4 linked regions of the Caenorhabditis elegans genome follow. The protein of the gene in region 2 interacts with the protein of the main gene of each other region in a pairwise test. Each region holds a gene or a part of one and is shown on either strand. Other genes may lie near its edges. The genes, in order: memi-3, cdc-14, gtf-2E1 and ndx-1.

What was found.
Region 1: the proteins of cdc-14 (region 2) and memi-3 interact in a two-hybrid assay, tested with the Caenorhabditis elegans proteins (one large-scale study listed by BioGRID).
Region 3: the proteins of cdc-14 (region 2) and gtf-2E1 interact in a two-hybrid assay, tested with the Caenorhabditis elegans proteins (one large-scale study listed by BioGRID).
Region 4: the proteins of cdc-14 (region 2) and ndx-1 interact in a two-hybrid assay, tested with the Caenorhabditis elegans proteins (one large-scale study listed by BioGRID).

What each region holds. Positions count from the first base shown.
Region 1 is NC_003282.8:11,401,428-11,404,915, reverse strand, and holds memi-3 (MEiosis-to-MItosis transition associated), read left to right. Parts: upstream 1-1,577; 5' UTR 1,578-1,578; coding exon 1,579-2,058; intron 2,059-2,105; coding exon 2,106-2,291; intron 2,292-2,340; coding exon 2,341-2,532; intron 2,533-2,582; coding exon 2,583-2,759; 3' UTR 2,760-2,971; downstream 2,972-3,488. Other genes in the region: cyp-31A2 (CYtochrome P450 family), read right to left, coding at 1-75, 124-218, 265-361, 405-805, 852-944; his-65 (Histone H2A), read right to left, coding at 3,441-3,488.
Region 2 is NC_003280.10:5,588,726-5,595,141, forward strand, and holds cdc-14 (Tyrosine-protein phosphatase cdc-14), read right to left. Parts: upstream 4,703-6,416; 5' UTR 4,649-4,702; coding exon 4,592-4,648; intron 4,535-4,591; coding exon 4,340-4,534; intron 4,291-4,339; coding exon 4,183-4,290; intron 4,113-4,182; coding exon 2,850-4,112; intron 2,761-2,849; coding exon 2,719-2,760; intron 2,260-2,718; coding exon 2,068-2,259; intron 1,887-2,067; coding exon of another isoform or gene 1,656-1,886; exon of another isoform or gene 1,223-1,655; intron 1,203-1,222; coding exon 930-1,202; 3' UTR 892-929; coding exon of another isoform or gene 868-891; 3' UTR 501-867; downstream 1-500. Other genes in the region: C17G10.13 (THAP-type domain-containing protein), read right to left, coding at 12-161, 210-283; ttc-4 (Cns1/TTC4 wheel domain-containing protein), read left to right, coding at 6,011-6,118, 6,172-6,300, 6,348-6,416. UniProt on the Caenorhabditis elegans protein: Protein phosphatase that negatively regulates the G1-to-S phase transition to inhibit the cell cycle and establish quiescence in cells of multiple lineages including vulval, hypodermal and intestinal.
Region 3 is NC_003282.8:17,253,344-17,258,099, reverse strand, and holds gtf-2E1 (HTH TFE/IIEalpha-type domain-containing protein), read right to left. Parts: upstream 2,800-4,756; 5' UTR 2,798-2,799; coding exon 2,732-2,797; intron 2,678-2,731; coding exon 2,621-2,677; intron 2,569-2,620; coding exon 2,470-2,568; intron 2,417-2,469; coding exon 2,268-2,416; intron 2,224-2,267; coding exon 2,145-2,223; intron 2,094-2,144; coding exon 1,984-2,093; intron 1,705-1,983; coding exon 1,417-1,704; intron 1,369-1,416; coding exon 1,267-1,368; intron 1,215-1,266; coding exon 863-1,214; 3' UTR 538-862; downstream 1-537. Other genes in the region: phyh-1 (phytanoyl-CoA dioxygenase), read left to right, coding at 1-53, 315-398, 451-507; eelo-2 (Peptidase M3A/M3B catalytic domain-containing protein), read right to left, coding at 3,347-3,442, 3,698-3,829, 3,929-4,216, 4,263-4,433, 4,483-4,601.
Region 4 is NC_003279.8:12,677,551-12,682,323, reverse strand, and holds ndx-1 (Putative nudix hydrolase 1), read right to left. Parts: upstream 3,118-4,773; 5' UTR 3,114-3,117; coding exon 3,008-3,113; intron 2,961-3,007; coding exon 2,883-2,960; intron 2,776-2,882; coding exon 2,693-2,775; intron 2,602-2,692; coding exon 2,394-2,601; intron 1,690-2,393; coding exon 1,599-1,689; intron 1,544-1,598; coding exon 1,397-1,543; intron 1,347-1,396; coding exon 1,214-1,346; intron 1,071-1,213; coding exon 910-1,070; intron 636-909; coding exon 545-635; 3' UTR 512-544; downstream 1-511. Other genes in the region: T26E3.10 (resistance to Congo red protein), read left to right, coding at 228-422. UniProt on the Caenorhabditis elegans protein: Probably mediates the hydrolysis of some nucleoside diphosphate derivatives.

The sequences.
Region 1 (3,488 bases), on a different chromosome or scaffold from region 2:
CTCTCGACAATCACTTTCTTTGTGAAATCATGGAGAATACGAAGACATTTTTCATGAGTCCGTCCGTCCTCTGTTCTGAAAATTACAAATTAATTCACCTTATTAATGATAAAACTACCGTACAAATTATAAATAAATGAATTCCACATCAACGGATTATTTGTTCTTTTTGAAATCAGTTTATTGATTGTGTGCACCGCCCATACATACTCGTTATTCTGAAAAAGTATTTAGAAATTTTGAGATTCGAGTTGTTTACCCAACCTCCGCGAGTTGAGCACCAATAGCTTTCCCCATAGAGGTTTCGCAAATGATGTCAAGAGTGCAAAGGGTTATAACGGAGAGAACATCAACTTCTTCACTGAAAAGAAACATTTGAACGAGTTATCAATTAAAATTCTTACTCTGCTCCGAGGCAACACAATTTCTGAACCAAAATCTTTGATTGCTCGTTAAAAATCGGCAAAAAATCCTTGAGAATATCATAATGGAATGTTGGTGTCAATAGTTTTCGTTTTGGACGCCATTGTTCCTTTTGGCTCGTCAAAATACTGATTCCAAGCCATGGCTCGAGCAAAACGTATGCGAACCCTTTGTTCAGATGTTTCGTCGATGAGAAAATTGGTTCAACAAGATCGGCAGAGTAGAGCATCAGACATGGAAATGGGCCAATCCAGAGAAGACACATCCGTGGATCTGGATACAAATATCCCATTCCAATCACTTGGTTCATGAATCCCTCTGGATCGGGCTTGGTGATGAGTCCGTGACCAACGATTGGATATGATCGTGGCTGATTGAGGTGCTGGAAATTTATTTGAGTTATCTTTGAATGCATTTTGCAATCTGACCTTCAAAACTTGACGCATTCTCAAATGTTTGTAGAGAAGCCAAGCGATCACAGTCGCCATAGCGAGAAGTACAGCGGGGATGATGACCCCCATTGCAAAACCTTCTGAAATAATTTATTTGTGCGAAGAAACGAGCAAAACGCGTTTAAAACATGAGAAAAAGCGTTTGTTAAGCTTTGGTTCTAAAAAAAGAAAAAAAACGAACAGTTTTTGAATCAACATTCAAATTTCACGCATGTCGTAGTGAGACCCATCTGAAAATCGCCATGCGCCTTTAAAGAGTACGGTAGGCTCAAAAAAATTCTAAAACTGATTTTTGTTGTTTTCTGATATATCATGATATTTAAATCTTGATTTAATGATTAAAAACTTTCAATCGCGTTAATTTTTCAACAAAAAAAAAAGAAAACAAATCCAAAATTATTTTTCAATAAGTATTGTACTTTTTATGAATGCATCGCCTATTTGACCTATTCGATCTCCCCCGCGAAAAGTCAGCGCAACAATTGTGTTATTTTAGGCCCAACGAAAATTTTTGATTGTGAACATTCTTCTACTTTGCTGATGTTCAGAGAGCCGTAATGAAATTTCATAAATATTGTTTTATCGGTGAAGCATTATTAATCTGTTAATCACTTGAGTACATTGTTTTTTTTAAAGTTTTATCTTTAATTTTTGCTTCGAATTCTTATTTTTCCATTAATTTTTCAAACCAACGTTTTTTAGAATGTCAGCTCCGTCCCGTACCGTTCTTCGCGAATTGACGGCGACCAAATACGTGGCCAACTACACCGATGAATATCAATTGGAAACCGCTCGAGCCGGTTGCTCAGCCCTCCCACCACAACCCAACATCAATCATGATGCAATTATCGAAGGGCATGGAGAAGACGTGGAGCTCGTCGAGGATAAGAACTACCGTTCCCTGCATCGTATCGATGAAACTCCAAAGCTCGTCGACAAGAAGCCGAGCAAGGCAATCATCCGCGATGAAGCTGTCAAAGTGCTAAGAGACATTCAAACAATGCCGATTGAAAATCTCCGTCTCAAGCGCTACGACTTCTTCTCGCAAAGATGGTTCAACACGACCAGAGAATCGGAGAAAGCGCTTGTCGAGCACGTGCTCCTTCATCCGAACCAGCGACCACACTATTTCGCCGCTCAGTGCCGCATGCTTTCGGCCGAAGATATCTCCAGTCTGATTCTAGTTAGTTTCTTGAGTATATTTTTCCCAAAAAAATTTTTTTATTTCAGACTTCCCTCCTGGCCGAGCCGAAAGAGACGGGTCAAAATGTGGTTCGATTTGCGATCCAGGCAAAGACTGCAATGCCGTTCCAGCAATTGTTTGCAATTCTCGAAAAACTGGAGATGGAAATCGAAGGCTTCCAGATGACAGACAGCTTTGTGGTGGCAACATTGATCCGATCACAGAGCAAGAGTGTACGTAAAATAGTTTTCTATTTCACACCGATAACTTTTCATATTTCAGACTACCACTCGTCGCCTGCGAACAACAAACTGCCGGGAATACGGAAATCTCGAGCCAGGACTCGATTCACAAGGCCGACTGATGGCCTCGACTGCATCAATCACGTGTTCGATTCGAGGAAAGCGCCACGTGGAAACGAGGATCGTGTACAATAACAACTCGAGCGCCAGGGATCCTTTCCGGAGATATAGAGTGAGTTGAATAGCAATAATTTATCGGTTTCCAATTTATAACGTTTTCAGTACATCGAATTGGAGCAAACGGTGAAGTGCATGAACCGACGAGTGCAGATTGTCGAAGAGCCAGTCGAATTTCATGAATTCGAGGTCGAAAACGATATGGTCTCGTTGAGAAATGGAATGGTGCTTGTCGACGACCTAATCTCGTTCCTCGAAACATTCGAACTGGATGAAGAGTGAATTCATTTGTCCAATAATTAGTTATAATGTGCATAAGTTTTTGTATATATCTATCTGAATAACTAAGTGGTTCCTGTTAAATATATCAACTAACTTTCCCCTATTTTATTTTCCATTCCTCCAACTCACCATGACCCTCGAATATTTTGTTTATGTTCAACATGTATATTGCTTGAATTAACTTTACCAAATCATGAACTGGTTGATTTAAAAAATCTTTTTAACATGACTCTGAAAAATTTTTCAAATTAAATTCTTCTGATAAGCTGATAATTTTCTGGTTTCAGATATCAAAATTTTTATACAGCCGGGTACAATGATTTACGATATGGAAGATGCCTCCAGCCTAAAAAGATGAATTCGAAATTAGAATTAATGAACGCAAATTTCTGAAAACGCTGGCAATTCCAGCTTGCGACATGCAACTTTTCGATACTTGAGGCTTGATAGGCAATTGGCCACATTACATAGTGATCATAATTCTGCAATTTCTAAATGTCGTTTCCTGACCGATATCTTGGCTCGAAAACATGTGAAAACTTATTGACAGTAATACTGATTGAATTCAAGCAAACATATTATTCAAAATAAATGTAATATGAAATATCTTTAGGATTTTTTATATTTGTGGCCCTAAAGAGGGCCGTTGGGTTCGGTGGGTTTGTTTAAAGAAGAAAGTTCTTACTCCTTATCTCCTCCAGTCTTCTTTGGGAGAAGAACGGCTTGGAT
Region 2 (6,416 bases):
TTTTTAAATACATTTTGATCGGAAGCTTTCTAGTACTCGCATAATTCAATCGTGGATCATTGCTGCACGTAGGGCCGGCAGATGGTACCTCTTTTGAGACAATTTTTCGAGAAACCAGCACGAAACGTCTTTTTGGTTCTGGTGGTGTTGACGAGGGATCTCTGAAATTTTAGATTTAAATTTTTATGACCGAATACTCAGAATATTACATTTGTTCCGCGGCTTTCCTATCTTCGACATACGATGTTGTAATTTCTACCTCCACTGCGCCATTTTCAGACATTTCTGAAACATAAATTTTGTACATTAAAAAATTATAAAAATATTTATTTATTATTTTCTAGCATCTGAAAAATAGAATTTAAAAGAAAACGCTCAATTTTCGGAAATCAAAAGAGAAAAATTATATCAAAATTTAAAACTGAATATTCTGAAACTCCGCCCACTGCAATATCGCCGCACACTTTTTTCGAGATTTATTAGGATTTATAATCAAGCAATAATTTTACAATTTTCCAATGAATAAAGTGAATAAAGCAATGAAACCATCAATAATACATAAAATTTTTCGACGCCTGCGTCAGTTGGCATGCACTATGATACAGTTTTTTGAATATACATACAATGATTAATTCATGAATACAAAAGTCGTTCGATCGACAAGTTTGAAAGCTAAGGTTTGTAAAGGCAGATGTAATATTATGGCATTATTATCGGAGAAAGGACTAGACAAGGTAAAATGTCAATCGCTTGCTGGGAGCTGTATTTTAGAAATAGGATAAAAGTTTGAGAACTAGTGAATATTATGAAATTTGAAAAATTATGAGAAGTTGAGAGTTTATCTGATTTCGATGTCGTTCTTACGAATTACGAGGCAGTTTTTCTTCTTTTCTGTAAAAAATTGAGCCTTAATATTTCTTGATGAAGTTCTAACTCAAAGTGTTCACAAGTTTACATACCCCTAAAAGAGCTTCTGTATTCGCTGCGAGACCAGCTCCAGGAATAACGTGAGCTTCTTTCCTTGGTCTAATATCATAGCTTTTCCCATTGGCACATAGCTCTACACGAACCCCTGTTGATGGATACGGTCTTGGTCGGGAGACTTGAATTTTTTTGAGAGAGGACGTAGATTTAGAAGTCCCTGGCATTGAGAGTATCCGCTTTGGTGGCTTGCTTTCAGCAGTCAAAGAGCATTTGGTTATCTGGAACGATGAAGAAAGAATAGATTTTTTTAAAAAGAGGTTTATTAAATCTGTTCAAAATTCAAATAGGAAGGTTAGATGCTATAAAATGGAATGTAGTACGACAATTAACAAGAGCAAAATGTAAAAGGAGCAACATGAGCACACGTGACAAACTAAGAAAAGCATACAGAATGTGTAATAAAAAAGAGCACGGTTTTAGTAGACAATATCGAGATTTGATTTTTAGAGCAAGAGCAGCTATCTTGTTCGTTGTACAGAAATTCTTCAATTTTTGGTATTTACAGGAACAGCCTTGAATTTATATAGTTCAGAAAGTTTCAAAGTTCACCCGAAATAAAAAACTGTCTGTACCGTAGGCTCGGATAAGATGATAGAAAAGGCAACAAAATGATTGAATGAATTGAGAGTAGCAATGTGAGAGGAGTAGGGATACGGTAGTGTGTACATTCATCATTTCCGCTCACAACTTCTTGTCATATACATTGACGGTAATGTTGAAGTGGAAACCGATCCACGTGCCAATGGTTTCTTGTCTCCGTATAATCCACGAGACGATGTCGAATATCCTTGAGTTGTTGAATAGTTATGTGGAGAAAGTGGAGCTCGAGACGACGTTGTCGGTGGTGGACGATGAGCCATTATACTATGCGGTGAATCAGGAGGCACTCGAACAAGACCAAACTGCAACGAGATACAACACTGCCACGTCACGATATTTAAAATAAATAACGGGGATGTGATTATGGTCCTTTTAAGAAGGAGCATGCAAGTGGGAAGAATTAACCAAATAAATTATCATGCAGAATTTTGAGAAGATTTAATTTCAATGTATCTATCTAATTTAGTTTCCCCAATTACTCACCTGTGGTTGAAGGCTGAATGGAGTAGATGTGGTACTTCCAATTGGATTTTCAGATCGGAGTCTCGCCTTATAGCGGGGGCTGGTTCCATCGGTATATGAAGGGGACATTGGTTTTATTGGTGTAGTCGGTGACAAGTATCGTGTGGTCTCACTTCTTCGAGATGCCATTGACGGGAATACAGCAGATGCTGGCTGAAAAAAAAGAAAAATAAATTAATGAAAATATTGAATATTACAAAGGCGCAGAAAATTGAAATTTTTGCTCAGAAAATACGGTACCCGGTTTCGGCACAAAGGCGTGCGCACAACGGCGTAAAGAGTACTGTAATTTTAAATGTTCGTTATTGCGGAAAAATCGACGAAATTCCGCAGCAGCGTGAGATTGAAATTACAGTACTCTATTAAAGGCGCATGCTCTTTTGCATTTAAAAAAATTGTCGTGTCGAGACCGGGCACGATATTTTTGCCGCAAAAACCACAGAATTTTGCATCTGAGTAATATCTCAATTGATTATGGTAATCTAAAACAATGGTATGATGAGGGATTAGGAATAAAGCAACTCTAAAATATTTCACACCACGTTTAAACTGAAAGCAAATTGTTTGGGAAAAAAGAAAATGGTTTGAGCACACAATGAGTGAGAGTTATACCTCGTAGAACAACGAGTTGTGGAATCTGTAGCTCTCGTTTCCCTGAAACTGTTTTGTTTATGGCTAAACTAAAACTTTCTGGCGTTGAATGAGAGCTCATTTTTAATATACCAAGTTTGTTTATAACTTACAGTTCTAGTAAGAGTTGACGTGGTATTTCCTGATGAATTTCTAGTTCGATAAGCAACATTTCCATTTGGTGTTGTTTTTAACTGACGGCTACTCGTTCCAGATGATGTTCCATTTTTTGACGGTGTGACAATAATTGGTTCACGATTTCGATTCAAATATGCTTGGCTCGGAACAGTCATTTGTGGTGTTGAACTTTTGACAAATCTCCGACTCGAGGAACTGTTGGGACTTGTTGTCTCTGATTCGTGTTGATGCTTGGCTTTCAATTGTAGAAGTCGGTCGCCTTGTGATCTTCCTTGATCGTCTAGAGCAGTCTCATCGACGACACGAGATGGTTTAGTGGATCTTCTAGATTCGGATGTTCCAGCAGGGGCTATTGTTACTGGAGCAGTTGACCTTCCATTTTGAACTTGCACACGCCTTCGAAGGATATTTGGACGAGTGTTTTCTCGACTTTTCGGAGATATCCTTTCTTCTCCTAAATTTATATCATCCACTTGATTAACAAGACGTCGTACATTTCTTTTTTCTTCTTTGTTTTGAGTAAGATGAACACCATTTGATTGGGACAGTGACCAACAGAACTTTTGTTTCTCAATGAGATAAGGTTGTTGTGGTCCGATAACTGAGCCAGGTCGACATACACGTAGCCAACCCATACACTCTCCAGCAGTCAATCCATACTCTTTCATCATCCAACAAGCGATCAAAGTCCCAGTTCTCCCGAGACCTGCTTTGCAGTGAACAGCGACTCCTCCTTTTGTATTATCAACAACTTTTATAAATTTCAGCATGATTTCATCAGAAGGTGTACTTCCATCTATGAAGAATAAGTCAACATGATCAAATCCGGCTTTTGTGAACTTCGAAGCATCATAGTTTTTTGCATTCAACCGAACAATTGTTGAAACTTTGTTCTCACGGAAGTAGTCGAAATAAACATCTGGAGCATGATACGGATACCCGTTCTCCTCGCGGCTTTCATTATGAGGCCCGCAGAAACTTAGAATTTTTCCTGGGATAATCCAATTGAAATCTCCATTCTCAACGCGCTCATAAAACTCATATTCCTCATAGTCAAAGTCTGAGAAGTCGAGCCATCCAAATTTCAATGCTTTTTCGATTCCTCGCAAAACATCATGCAAATGGAGAAGATATTGAGGTGATCCCATAGAGGCATCACGGAATCCAACAAATTTTACAGTTTCTCCGGAAGACACTTTCAAATATGCATCGTCGGCAGAGAATCCTTGATAGATTATCTGAAATACATTTTCATTATTTTAGAGATCAAGAATTTTTAGAAAATATACATTTCTGTCATTAACTTACCAGATATGCTCCGAGTACATAGGCAGTATTTACTCGTATTTTGTCATATTGCCCTGTCCCATCATCCTGACAAAAAAGCACCACTCGTCGGCTTCGCTTTTCTTCGACCTAAACGAGTGTGTTATCTAATCTATCATCAATCTTGGAATGAGCTCACCTCTAGCAGTTTGCCTACTTGGACACATAATCGATAGAGAACTGAAAGATTCCATGGACCAAAATCCTCGTAAAAAGGTTCGTAATGAAACTTGTTGTTGATATTGATGAAGCAAGTTTTCTTTACTGATTTATCTGATTTGTCGATAGCATCAGGATTGGGAAAGCAACCGAAATAAAGTCGATTGGGTAGCAACTGAAATTAAAATATATTATTTTCAGATTTTCAAACATTTTAAAATGAACAACTCACTTCTGTCAAAGTATTTTCAATTGTATTGTTACGACGTGGGGAGTGGTCTTCTCTCATTTTTTTTATTACTATTATATGGTTCTGCCTCTACTAGCACATTCCGTAGCGCCTGCAATAAAAAAACGATTGTGTTCGTGCTGTGTGGCTAGATAAATACAAACGAAAGTTGGCTCAGCTGCTCGGAAAGCAAGAGAATAGAGGTAAATAAGAAATAGAGGAATTCGGGTACTGTACGAAAATAAAAGGAGAGTTCTAAGAATTTATCGATTAGGTGATAAGATGTCGAGTAATGATGTGAAAAATGTGACATGCAATTGGGTTGGGCTGCTGGGAGAAGAAATAAACACGAGTCGCAGAGAGTGTCCCTTCCCGATCTCTCCCACACAGAATGATGATGCACTTGGCCCTGAGAAAGAATAGGAAACAGTAGGGAAATGAAGGTGACGCAGAGACTTTGGCGGGGTTTGGCAGCGTGCCAATTGTTCAGTCACATTGACTGTCTTGTGTTTGAATTTGTTTGCAGTAGGGCAGTATTGCATTGGTTATTATACAAAGAAAATGAACAAGTTACTAACAAAGAAAAGAAGAATTGAATTTTATTAAAAAGGAGAAGAAATCGATTTTGTTGAATTCAATGAAGATATAAGAAATTGGATTAATTTGAGAACTATATATATATTTTGGGCAGTTTCAAAAATGCAACTAAGAGTTATAATTATATTTTATACTTATAAAATATGATTCAAAATTTGGGATTTGATAAGATTTTAAAACATACAGATTTAAAATTTTTTTCTTCTGAAATTCATTACGTTTCTAGCATCTACTATTTAAATTATAAATTTATTCATATTTAAAACTAGATTTTGAGAAATTTTGTTGCCGCTGATGGCAGAGAAGGCTTCTTTTATTGGAGATTTCCATTAAATTATAAAAATATTGAAATAATATTTTATGCAAAATGTCTTACAATAGGAGAAAAAGAAAAGATTGTTGAAAAATAAAAATGAATAAAAAAACACAAAAATAAATTTTGAATGTAATTTTTCTCAGCGGAGCGCACTTGCGCGTGTGTCGAGACCACTCACTTTAGAAGAATGCAAAACCTGAGAACAATGTTTCTTTAAAAAAACAATTGTTTACTATGATTAGGGTAATTGATCAATTAATAAACTTTTTTTGAAGCCAAAAAGCTAAACTTGAAAGATTTTACAACTAAAAAAATATACTCTTTTGCGTTGTTTTTTGTTCATACACCCGCTTTCCACAAGATCGCATTCCTAAAACTGGTGTCGTCTCATTCTTTTTTATTTCCTAAAATTTCTGAAAATAAAGTTTTAACTGCATTCTTTTCGGTTACTCTTTGTTTTATATTTATTTTAAACGTTAATTTTCAGAATGAATCATCAATATTCACCAATGGATCTTCCCCAGAAGAAGAAATTCACTGAGTCAGAGCGAGCAGCCCTTGCGAAGAAACTTGATGACGACCTAGATCAGTTCATGGAAGAAATGGCTGCGAGAAAAGTAATTTCATATTTAAATCTCTGCAATCGTGACATTAAATCTTACATTTTCAGTCTGATAAGAAAGAAGAACGAAAACCGTTTGATTTCGATGACTGGTGCAAAGAGATTGATCAACATCCTGCATTCATGACAGAAATGCCCACGGATGGAAAATATCAGGACACTATTGAAGCTTTACAGGCAAGTAAATGGATAATAATATCGAATTAATACGTACAAATATTCAGTCTATGAAATACGATAAAGAAGACGACGAGGATAAGCAAATGAATGCAGAACATCACAAAGAGGAAGGA
Region 3 (4,756 bases), on a different chromosome or scaffold from region 2:
ACGCGAACTATGATCATACGAAGTACATTGATGTCAAGGGAACCGCTCAAGAGGTGTGAGAGTGCGATAGAGCGCGCTTGGGGGTTGATCTCCAAACCCGCGCTTTACCATTAGAGCGTGGTTGCATTTTTTGAATGCAAAGCTTTGAGATCTTTAATGCAAAGCTTTGAGATCTTTAAAGATCTTTAACAAAAATTTCGAGTTTCTAATGTAATTTATTAGATCCTTCTGAATTTTCTTGAAAATCCTAAAAGAAACATTGGCGATGCAATATTTTCCTGTCAATGGCCTAACTTTTTAATTTTCTCTTCCAGGAAGCCGGCAAACAGATTGAGGACATCATCCGTAAGCATCCAAAGAGATATGCCGTGAAACCGGGACAGGAGGTCACTTTCGAGGTTTGTCATTTGAAAATTTAAATTCCCGCCAGTCAATATCGCTTTTTTCCAGCTCACCTGGCGTCTGCGCTCTCGTCCAGTCCATCATGACGGCAAAGAAAATCTGTAAATGATAACCAAACGTTCAAACTCGATTTCTCAATCTCGCGAAATAAAGTTTCATTTTTGAAATGTACTCGAATAAATGGTGTAAAATGATGAGAGTAAAACAACACAATCATAATAATATTATTTTTAAAACAATAGTAAATTTCTGGAACGAGAAAAAAAATAAAAAAGGATTTGAACCGTGATGAAATGATGATGAAACAGGTGAAAAACTAGAGGGAATGGTAGGGGAAAATATAAAAATTTCAAGGCAATTTGTCATTTTGACGGTATTAGGAGAATTGGAGAGTAAACAATCCTCTATACCATCCTAGACATCACTAAATTTTGGCGGTAATATCTCAAAAAACCGAGACTTAATGAATAGCAATTTGTTGAGAAAAGAACATTGCAAAAAGATCCTGCACAACACTGCAATAGCTCTCCTTCTCCAGCTCACTCATCTCGTTCTCGACCATTCGAGGTGTGATTTGGCTCAGCGGAAGTGCTCGCCCCGCCACGTGGATCAAGTCTTCCTCCTCACTTTCGTCGTTGTCAACTTCCATTTTGATAGCTTCCTCGTCGACTTCCATCTTTATTTGCTTGGCAGGTGGCTCTTCAATTTTGACATTTGGAGCAGATTCCTCCGAACTGCACTCAATCTCCTTCAGATAGTCCAGAGATGGTCCATAACGTCGCTGTTTCGTTGATGTTTCTTCTTCCTCGGTTCTGAAAAAAGGTTTCATTGTTGAAATATAAAAGTTAAGCCATTTAAAAGTACTTGGCCTGATCCAGTACATGCTCATTGTGTGAAGCTTCACCACCGCCTATTGCATTATCCTTGAGCCATTCTGGCATAATTTTGGCTTCTTCCACAGGACCCCTGAAATATTAAGAATCAAAGTTTATTTTTCTACTTATGGCCACTAACTTATTAATATCCGCATTTAAATCCACAAAAACTGCATCTCCATTCTGATAATTGATCGAAGCGATATTTTGATAAGAATGAGCGACTCCTCCCAACTGTATCCGTCCACCACCACCTCCACCCGACGTAAAGTCCATTTGTTGTTGCTGTAGTTGCAGTTCTTTGTCATCTTCCAAATATTTCGTGATATCCGGTTCAAGGAGATGCGGAGCCAATTGGATACCGTTTAGAGCACAAATATGAGAGAAGAGCGGTGTCATTTGTTCGTTGAAGCGTGCCACAGCGGTTCTGGAAATTTAAAAAATAAAAAAAAATATATATGCAGATACAGTAACCCGAAGTTTTTTTTTGAAAGGAGACCCTAAACAGTAAAATTTCATCAATTTTTTGGAGCTCAAAATTGCAAAAAATTTTAGAGTACTGTAGATTTAATTTAACAAATTCAAAAATCTGTCAATTTGAAAATTTTTCAATTCGTCGCTTTGAGCTCGATCAGAATTCATAATAATTTTCGCTTCAGAACCCAGAAATTTCCGAATTTTCAGATTTTCAGGATATTCCAAGTACCTCGTCGTCCTCGATGGTACTACCGTCTCATCCGCCAACACATCTCCGTGGCACCGCCAGCAAATAAGCCGCCCGCTTTCAGCGTCCAATATCCGATTGATTTCCAGCATCTAAATATGATTTTTTCAGAGAATTCTTCTATTTTAAAAGAATTTTCTCACATCATAAGAACTCTGACACGCTCCACATCGATAGTGAGCTCGATTTGTGTCCATTTGCTCTCGGGACTCGAGTTTTTGTCTGGAAAATTTTAAACTTTCAGTGAAAAAATTATATTTTCACACCTCATGTGATCGATTTTGTAGCGCACCACGTTGAGCACAGCCCGATAGTTTATATAGTAGAAAATGATGGAAACCGTTCGATTATTCTCGTTTTTCTGCGTAATCGTGCGCTCTTTCACGAGTTTTTCAGCTTTCAGAGACGCGAGGAGCTGAAATTGTCAAATTTTTTGAATTTTCGAATTTCAAGCAAGTTTCAGCACACCTGTCTGAGCATTTTCTGATCGAATTGTATTCGGGCTTTGAGATTTTCCTCGCGAATGCACTGGGCTCGCATTATGTGGTAGACGATGATAAAGTGCTCCTGGAAAATTAAAAATTCAAGAATTTTTTGAAAAATCAGATTTTTCGCTTACACTTGAGAAGAAGTTCTTTACCACCATCAGCAATATAGTGTTGAGTGCCTCCGGAATCTGAAAAAGACGGTTTTTAGTCAGATTTAGTGGGTTTTTTCGCGGAAATGTTACCTCATCCACCACTTGGGTCTCGGTGTGAGCCGATGATGAGCCGGAGGTCGCTGGGCCAGATGACATGCCTGGAAAAATTTAGTTTTTGGAATAAATTTTAATTTTTGATCAATAAATTATAATTTTTGTTCAAAAAAGTGAGCAAAATTTAAATTAAAAATAATTCAGCTCAAAAATATCCAAAAAAAAAATGGAATAATCGTTTTTTTTTTAATTTCCAAAAAAAAGTAAAAATTTCAAAAATTGGTTTTAAAAAAATAACACAATGTCCTGGAAAAGGTAATTTTCAAAAACAAATTCAATTTTTTTCCTGTTAAATAAAAAACATAAACATTTTTTTCAATTTCAAAACAAAAATATTTCAATCGTTGGAAAACGATATCTCAAAAAACGATAAATTTTCAAAAAGAAAAGAATTCATTACTGAAGTAAAACAAAAATTAAAAATGAGGGGAAAAACATTAAATAACAGAGAACAATCTATGAGACCCTATTTCTTCTTAAGACTATCAAAAAAATATAACAAAAACAGAAAAAAAATCATCTAAACATATGTGAAAACCCGGTGAGAAGCGAAAAAGAGATGGAAAATCTCCAAAAACCGGGGGGGAATTTTCATCGTCTCTGATTCTCCGACATTTCCATTTCATCTTGAATGGCCATTGGTGGGGCGTAGTGATCACAGATGGCTCCGACTGATGGATTTCGGCCCTGAAAAAATGGAAATGAATATTTTTCTTTAAAAAAAATTAAATAATGGCTTCATTTTTCTGGAATTTAAAAAATGAAAGTAATTGTTTGGAACTCTTTTAGAATTCTTCTTGTAAAAATAGAGTTCAATTAAAGCGTTCTAATTTTAAAAAAATACGATTTTTTGAGATTTTTCCATGCAGAATTTAAGATTTTCAGCTTATTTTAATGCCGTTTTTCACCAATTTTTCAGTCAAAAAAAGAAGATTCCCCTACCTGGAATCTTTTGAACAATTCCTTCGCAACATCTCCACTTCCTCTATTCAATATTGTCGTTTTCAATCGTTCTCCCGTTTGCACTTCATTGTCTTCCTCGTCAAATGTCTCATGGATATCTAAGGCGAGCATCTGGAAATTGAGCCAATTTTCAGAAATAATTGAGATAATTTTTTTTAAAAGTATTTATCAAAATTCTGATGATTTTCTAACACTGGAAAACCACCTCACCTCAGCCCACAGCTTCCTATAATACATGCTCATATGTGGTTGAAGAGCAAAAATCGGTGTGAATGAGCACGGTTGATAGTCATTTTTGGCTCTTTTGAACGGGAAATACTCCTCATACATTTGTTTGTACATATCCAGCCAGAACTTTTGCTTCCTGTCCTCCATCTCGTAAATCGACAGATCAAAGTCCGACCAGAAGAGGGTACGGTAGGTTTCCCAGAGTGATGCTCGTGAGATCGTAAGAGCCACCGAGTTTGCGTGCTCTTCGGTCAACGATTGCTTTGTGATCTGAAACAGAAATTCAGACATTTCAAGAATTTTCGACTAAAAATACCTGATGCGGAGAGCTAATTGTTGCAAGGAGATTGGGCTTCGTGACGAACATTTGCAAGAATGTTGGGAACATGTCAGCTGCATCCCAGTCAGATGCGTAGAATGGAGACCATGGAATTGAAATATCACGGTATGGAGATTGTGATAGAAGAAGCTGCACACTTCGGCCAAACTGGAAATTTCGAAAATTTAAATTCAAACCCAAAATTTCGACTACTGACATGGAAAAGAAGTTGCTGAAGCTGCTGGTGATGGAGAAGAGACGGTCCGTTGGAAGTTGGAGCAATTGCTGAGCCGATGAAGTACACAATCTTGTCGAGACCTCGTTCTTTGGATTCCGCTGGAAATATATTTGTTAACTAACCTGTGTTGTTTTTTGCAGTTATTTTTGAACAGAATTTATTCTATTAACGTTTTTCGAAAGAATTTTTTTGCAAAAATAATTTGAAAAAAAAGCCAGATAGTCTGAAACGAGGAGAATTTTTTCCTCTAATT
Region 4 (4,773 bases), on a different chromosome or scaffold from region 2:
TCTAATATCATATAAACTTGAAAAAAAACGTTGCCACGGTGGGGACTCGAACCCCGGTCATTTGATTGGAAAAGGCTTTCGGCGAAAATCCCACTGCGCCATTCGAACACTTTTTAAAAAATGATTGAAAATCAAAATTTCTTGTAATTTTTGAAACTTCGAGCAATTTTGAGCAATTTTCGTTAATTTTGAGTTGAGAAATCATGTTTTTAACCGATTTTTTTCAGATCTACATGTGCCTTGTCGGTATGGCAAAAAAACGGCGATTAGCTGCACAAGCACCGATATTCGATTTCGACGAAGGAAATACAGATATTCTGCGAAAAACCTCGGAGTTACCGGATCTTCAGCCCCCGCCTGCATATGACGTGCTCCAAGAGCCACCTCCACCAACTTATAGCTCTTTGTTAAGGAGTCAGTGATCTCAATTTTTGAAAAAAATGATTTTTTCAAATGTATGTAATAAACTAATATTGAGAGTTGGTCTTTAGAAAATTAAAAAAAAAATAATTTTTCAAATGTTTATTCAAGAAAACCAAAAGCATTAAAGCATATGAAGTGACGGCCGGAATTGCTTCTGAGCCATGTGAAATCGCTGTCGTGTCTCCGGTGATTCGACGGATATCCAGTGATACCTGAAATTTCGGGATTATTTTATTTTTCAATTATTTCCAATAAGACTTCAGGTAGAACAAATATATGAACTTCTCTTTAAAAAAAACGGTTTAAAATCGATTTTTGAAAAAGAAAATTGTCGAAAATGTCCAAATGACGCAGTGGAATTTTCGACAAGAACCTTTTATAATCAAACTACCTGGGTTCGAGTCCCCACTGTGGCACTTTCTTTTTTCAAAGTTTTATCAGACTAATTAAAAGTAATTAAAAGGTTTTTAATTCAAAATGTCTCACCGCGGACTCCGAATGATGGCTTTTGAAGCGGATTGCTTGTGCTCGCAGTAAACCCTTATTGAGACTCCGTGCGCCAGGGATTCCATTGGTTTTGGGTGGCATTTTATCCGCGTCACGTGAGACGGTGTAAATACTACATTGGCACCTTCTTCGAGCAAATGCTGAAAATTTGTAGGATCAGAAGAAAACTGAAATTCGTGAACCGAGCCGGCTAAGACTAAGCCTTAGCCTAAGTTTAAGTCTAAGTTTAAGCCTATGTTTAAGCCTAGACCTAAGCCTAATTTTTTTTACAAATCACGCTCACCCTATAACACTTGGATACAACCATCGCAAAGAAGTACTCGAACCCAAATTCCACCGTTGGGAATGGCTGTTCCTCTTCCAGCAGGTACGTCTCGTCCTTGATCGACTTGTGCACGAGCACCTCGGTTCGGAGCCTGAATAAACCTTTTTTTAGTGAATTTTCCCTCGCAGCTAAGACCCTTACCCATCCCTAGAGTGCTTGACAATCATAAACTCCAAAAATAATCCAGCAACGTTTTGATTTAACGGCATTACACGTGGAATAGAATCGACGGGGCCGTGTGTTCGGTATGTGACGGCCTCGTCGACTAGTCGGATGAAATCTCGGCCTCTGTAAAAAAAAATTGGTTTCAAAATTTAGGATCGAAAAAAAAAATTTCAGATACCTTAACTGAACCTTGTTGGCTTTGAGATCCTTGATGTTATACCACTCTGCGGCTAGGGATTCCTGATCGGGTTCTGTTTTCAGGTCACCGCCTGGAAAAATACAAATTCAGAAAATGGAATTTGAAAATGCTTTTAAAAAAATTTTTAACCTTTTTATAGCGTATTTCAAAAAAATTGTGCACGTGGCGCAGTGGGATTTTCGATGAAACCCCTTTCAATTGGGAGACCGTGGTTCGAGTCCCCACAGTGGTAAATTCTTTCTTCAAAGCTTCGTTTGGCTAATTCACGTGGTATCAGGGTGTCTGGCTTCATCTACGTATTTCTACAAAAAATGCGGGAGAAGAGACGCAGCCTTTCAAGTGATTTTGTCTGTTTAAGAACGTGCTGACTTCATTTTTTTTGGGCAAAAAAATCCCGCACTTTTTGTAGATCGAACCGTGATGGGACTGCCTGACACCATGTGCTAATTCAAGTGCGTTGAGATGAGAAATCATAGCTATATTCACTGAAAACGTTTCAAAATATCACGCTCATAGTGGTGAGGGTTTAATTTTGAAACATTTAGAGCAAAACTAACAGAATTGGGTCTAAAGGTACGAATTTTGCTCAAAAGTTGTAAATTAGGTAAAAAATTCAAAAATTGTGGTCAAAATTTGCAGAATTTAGTTCAAATTTCTACAAATAAAATGCCTGAACCTGAGAGTTTTTGGCGGGAAATTCAAATTTTTAAGGAACATTTTTGGCGAAAATTCAAATTTTTAATAGAAAAATAAATAAGCTCACTGAGTTCTCACCTGTAATATTACAATAAAAAGCATATCGATACCATCCGGATCCTTGAACTTGTAGTGACAGGAGTTCCACAACATCACAACTGTACCCAGTCTCCTCTTTAACCTCTCGTACCACTGCTTCTTCAATTGTCTCACCAGCTTCTACCCGTCCGGCAGGCATATACCATTTCCCACGACAACTTTTCTTGGCCTCTTGGATTAGGAGCACCTGGAAATTTGAATTTTATAAAAAATCATTTTTTGGGCTGAGCTACTAAAGCTTTTTCGTTTCGAGACCCATCGCCGCAAATAAAAATTACCTCTGTGTCGTCTCCCTGGTTCCGTAGAATAATTGCAGCAGCGACATAGTTTACATTGTCATGTAACCTTACATAGCGACATTCTGGAATATTTAGGTTTTTAAAAATTTGTTTTTTTTTATTATTTTTTTTTCATTCAAAAAGGTTTTTCAAGTATCAAATTTACAACAAAAAACCTTGAAAAACTCACTGCCCAACTGCATATCCGGCACCCTTGGCTCATTTTTCTTCTTCGCAACTGCCCCATTTGTGTGACCATTCAAGTTTTCTGGAAACTTCTATAATTTCCAGATTCCTATCAGTTCAAAGGCTTACCAACTACAGAATCACCATTTCCCATAAGCCGGGAGGCTTCTGGCGTGTGATCTCCGCTTTCGGCGATGTACTCCTCTTCGACTAGGTCCAACTTTCCAAGTGGCATTTTTCTGGAATAAAAATTGGTAAAACTGATATATCTGACGAAATTTTTACAAGAAAATGGTTCCGAAACGCGAAAAAATTTTTTGACAAAAAAGTGCACGGATGGTGTAGTGGGATTCTGGAGGAGTTGGTAATCTCAAGACCGGGGTTCAAGTCCCCACGGTGGCAAATTATTTTTTCAGTTTTTTTATTAAACTAATAAGGGTTTTTTGTGCAATATATTAGTTTTTTGACATTTTTAAAGAATTTTTTTTTTGGAAAAAATTTTACTTTTGTTTTTTGAATTTTTTTAAACAATTTTTTTAAAGTTTTTGGATTTTTAAAAATTTTTTGCAGTGGCTTAAAATCAATATCAATCCTATGAAAATGTTTAGAAATCGTTTTTAAAAACTCCTTCCAACGAAAAACGTATACGAACACCCAAACAAATACACACAATTGAAACGTTTTGGAAAACGATACATTGAGATACGCAGAGATAAAAAGGGCAAAATGCAACGGGCGGAACATCTTTATTAACTGGGCAATGAACTGCGCGAAAACTAGGGTGACGAGATGGGGCACGGCGATTAGAGGGAGAAAACGCCGGGATTGACTGGGAAAATGAGGCGGCGAGGTTTAAAACGGTCTGAAAAAAGGTTCAAAACCAGTTTTTACCAAAAATTTGGGTCATATTACAAAATTTCAGAAAATGTACGAATGGCGCAGTGGGATTTTGGATAGCTTCCAATCTCAACGCCGGGGTTCGAACCCCCGCTGTGGCAAATATTTTTATTGGCTTTTTTAAGCAGTTTTTAATGGCGAGATCAACATTTTGCATGTGTATAGCAGGAATTTCTTAGGATATCGTTGGTTTGGAGGGTGGGTCAAGTACCTTTTGTAGTATCAAATGTCTTCTATAGCTTCCGGTATAAATGACATAGGCTTTCTGAGCATCATAAATTGGAACACATGGTACATAGAGGAAATTATATTTTAGAAAAGAGTGAAAAATTGGTGTCATCTACCGGAGTCGAACCCCGGTGTTGTGATTGGTAGTTTTGGAAAATCCAACTGAGCCATTCGAGCGAAATTTTTAAAGTGTTCAAAAATGACTTAAACTTCAAAAAATTAACATAACTATTAATATTTAGAAAATTTCAGACTATTTGTAATCCCTGTGATCCAAAAATTCCCTCTTGATTCCGGCGAAAACTTGCAAAAGTGCACAAATCGAGAAAACCAAGGAATAGTATATGCTTGCAAGTATGCACACACAACGAAATGCAAACAAATCCATTAAATGGCGTCGTGGGGGCCCTCTCCCCGCCACATTGGAAGGCGGCTGGGTGACTAAAAAGAGCCCCTCCCGCGCCTTTTTGTTTTCTCTGACCTATTTGGAAATGGGGGTAGAGACGCAGAAAAACATGTTTTTCGAATTGAAATTGCACATTGAGCACTTTGTGAGAAAGGATTTTAATTGTCGGAGGTTTGAGCCAAAAATTGGCAGTTTTGGAAAACCAGTTTTCGGTTTTTCTTCATATTCAGATTGTGAGTCTATGATTTTCGAATTCAGCACTATCGAATTAGTCTAGTCACATTAAAAAAAAATTATTAAAAAAGGTGCCACGGTGGGGACTCGAACCCTGGTCTTGAGATTGGTAGATATGAAAAATCCCACT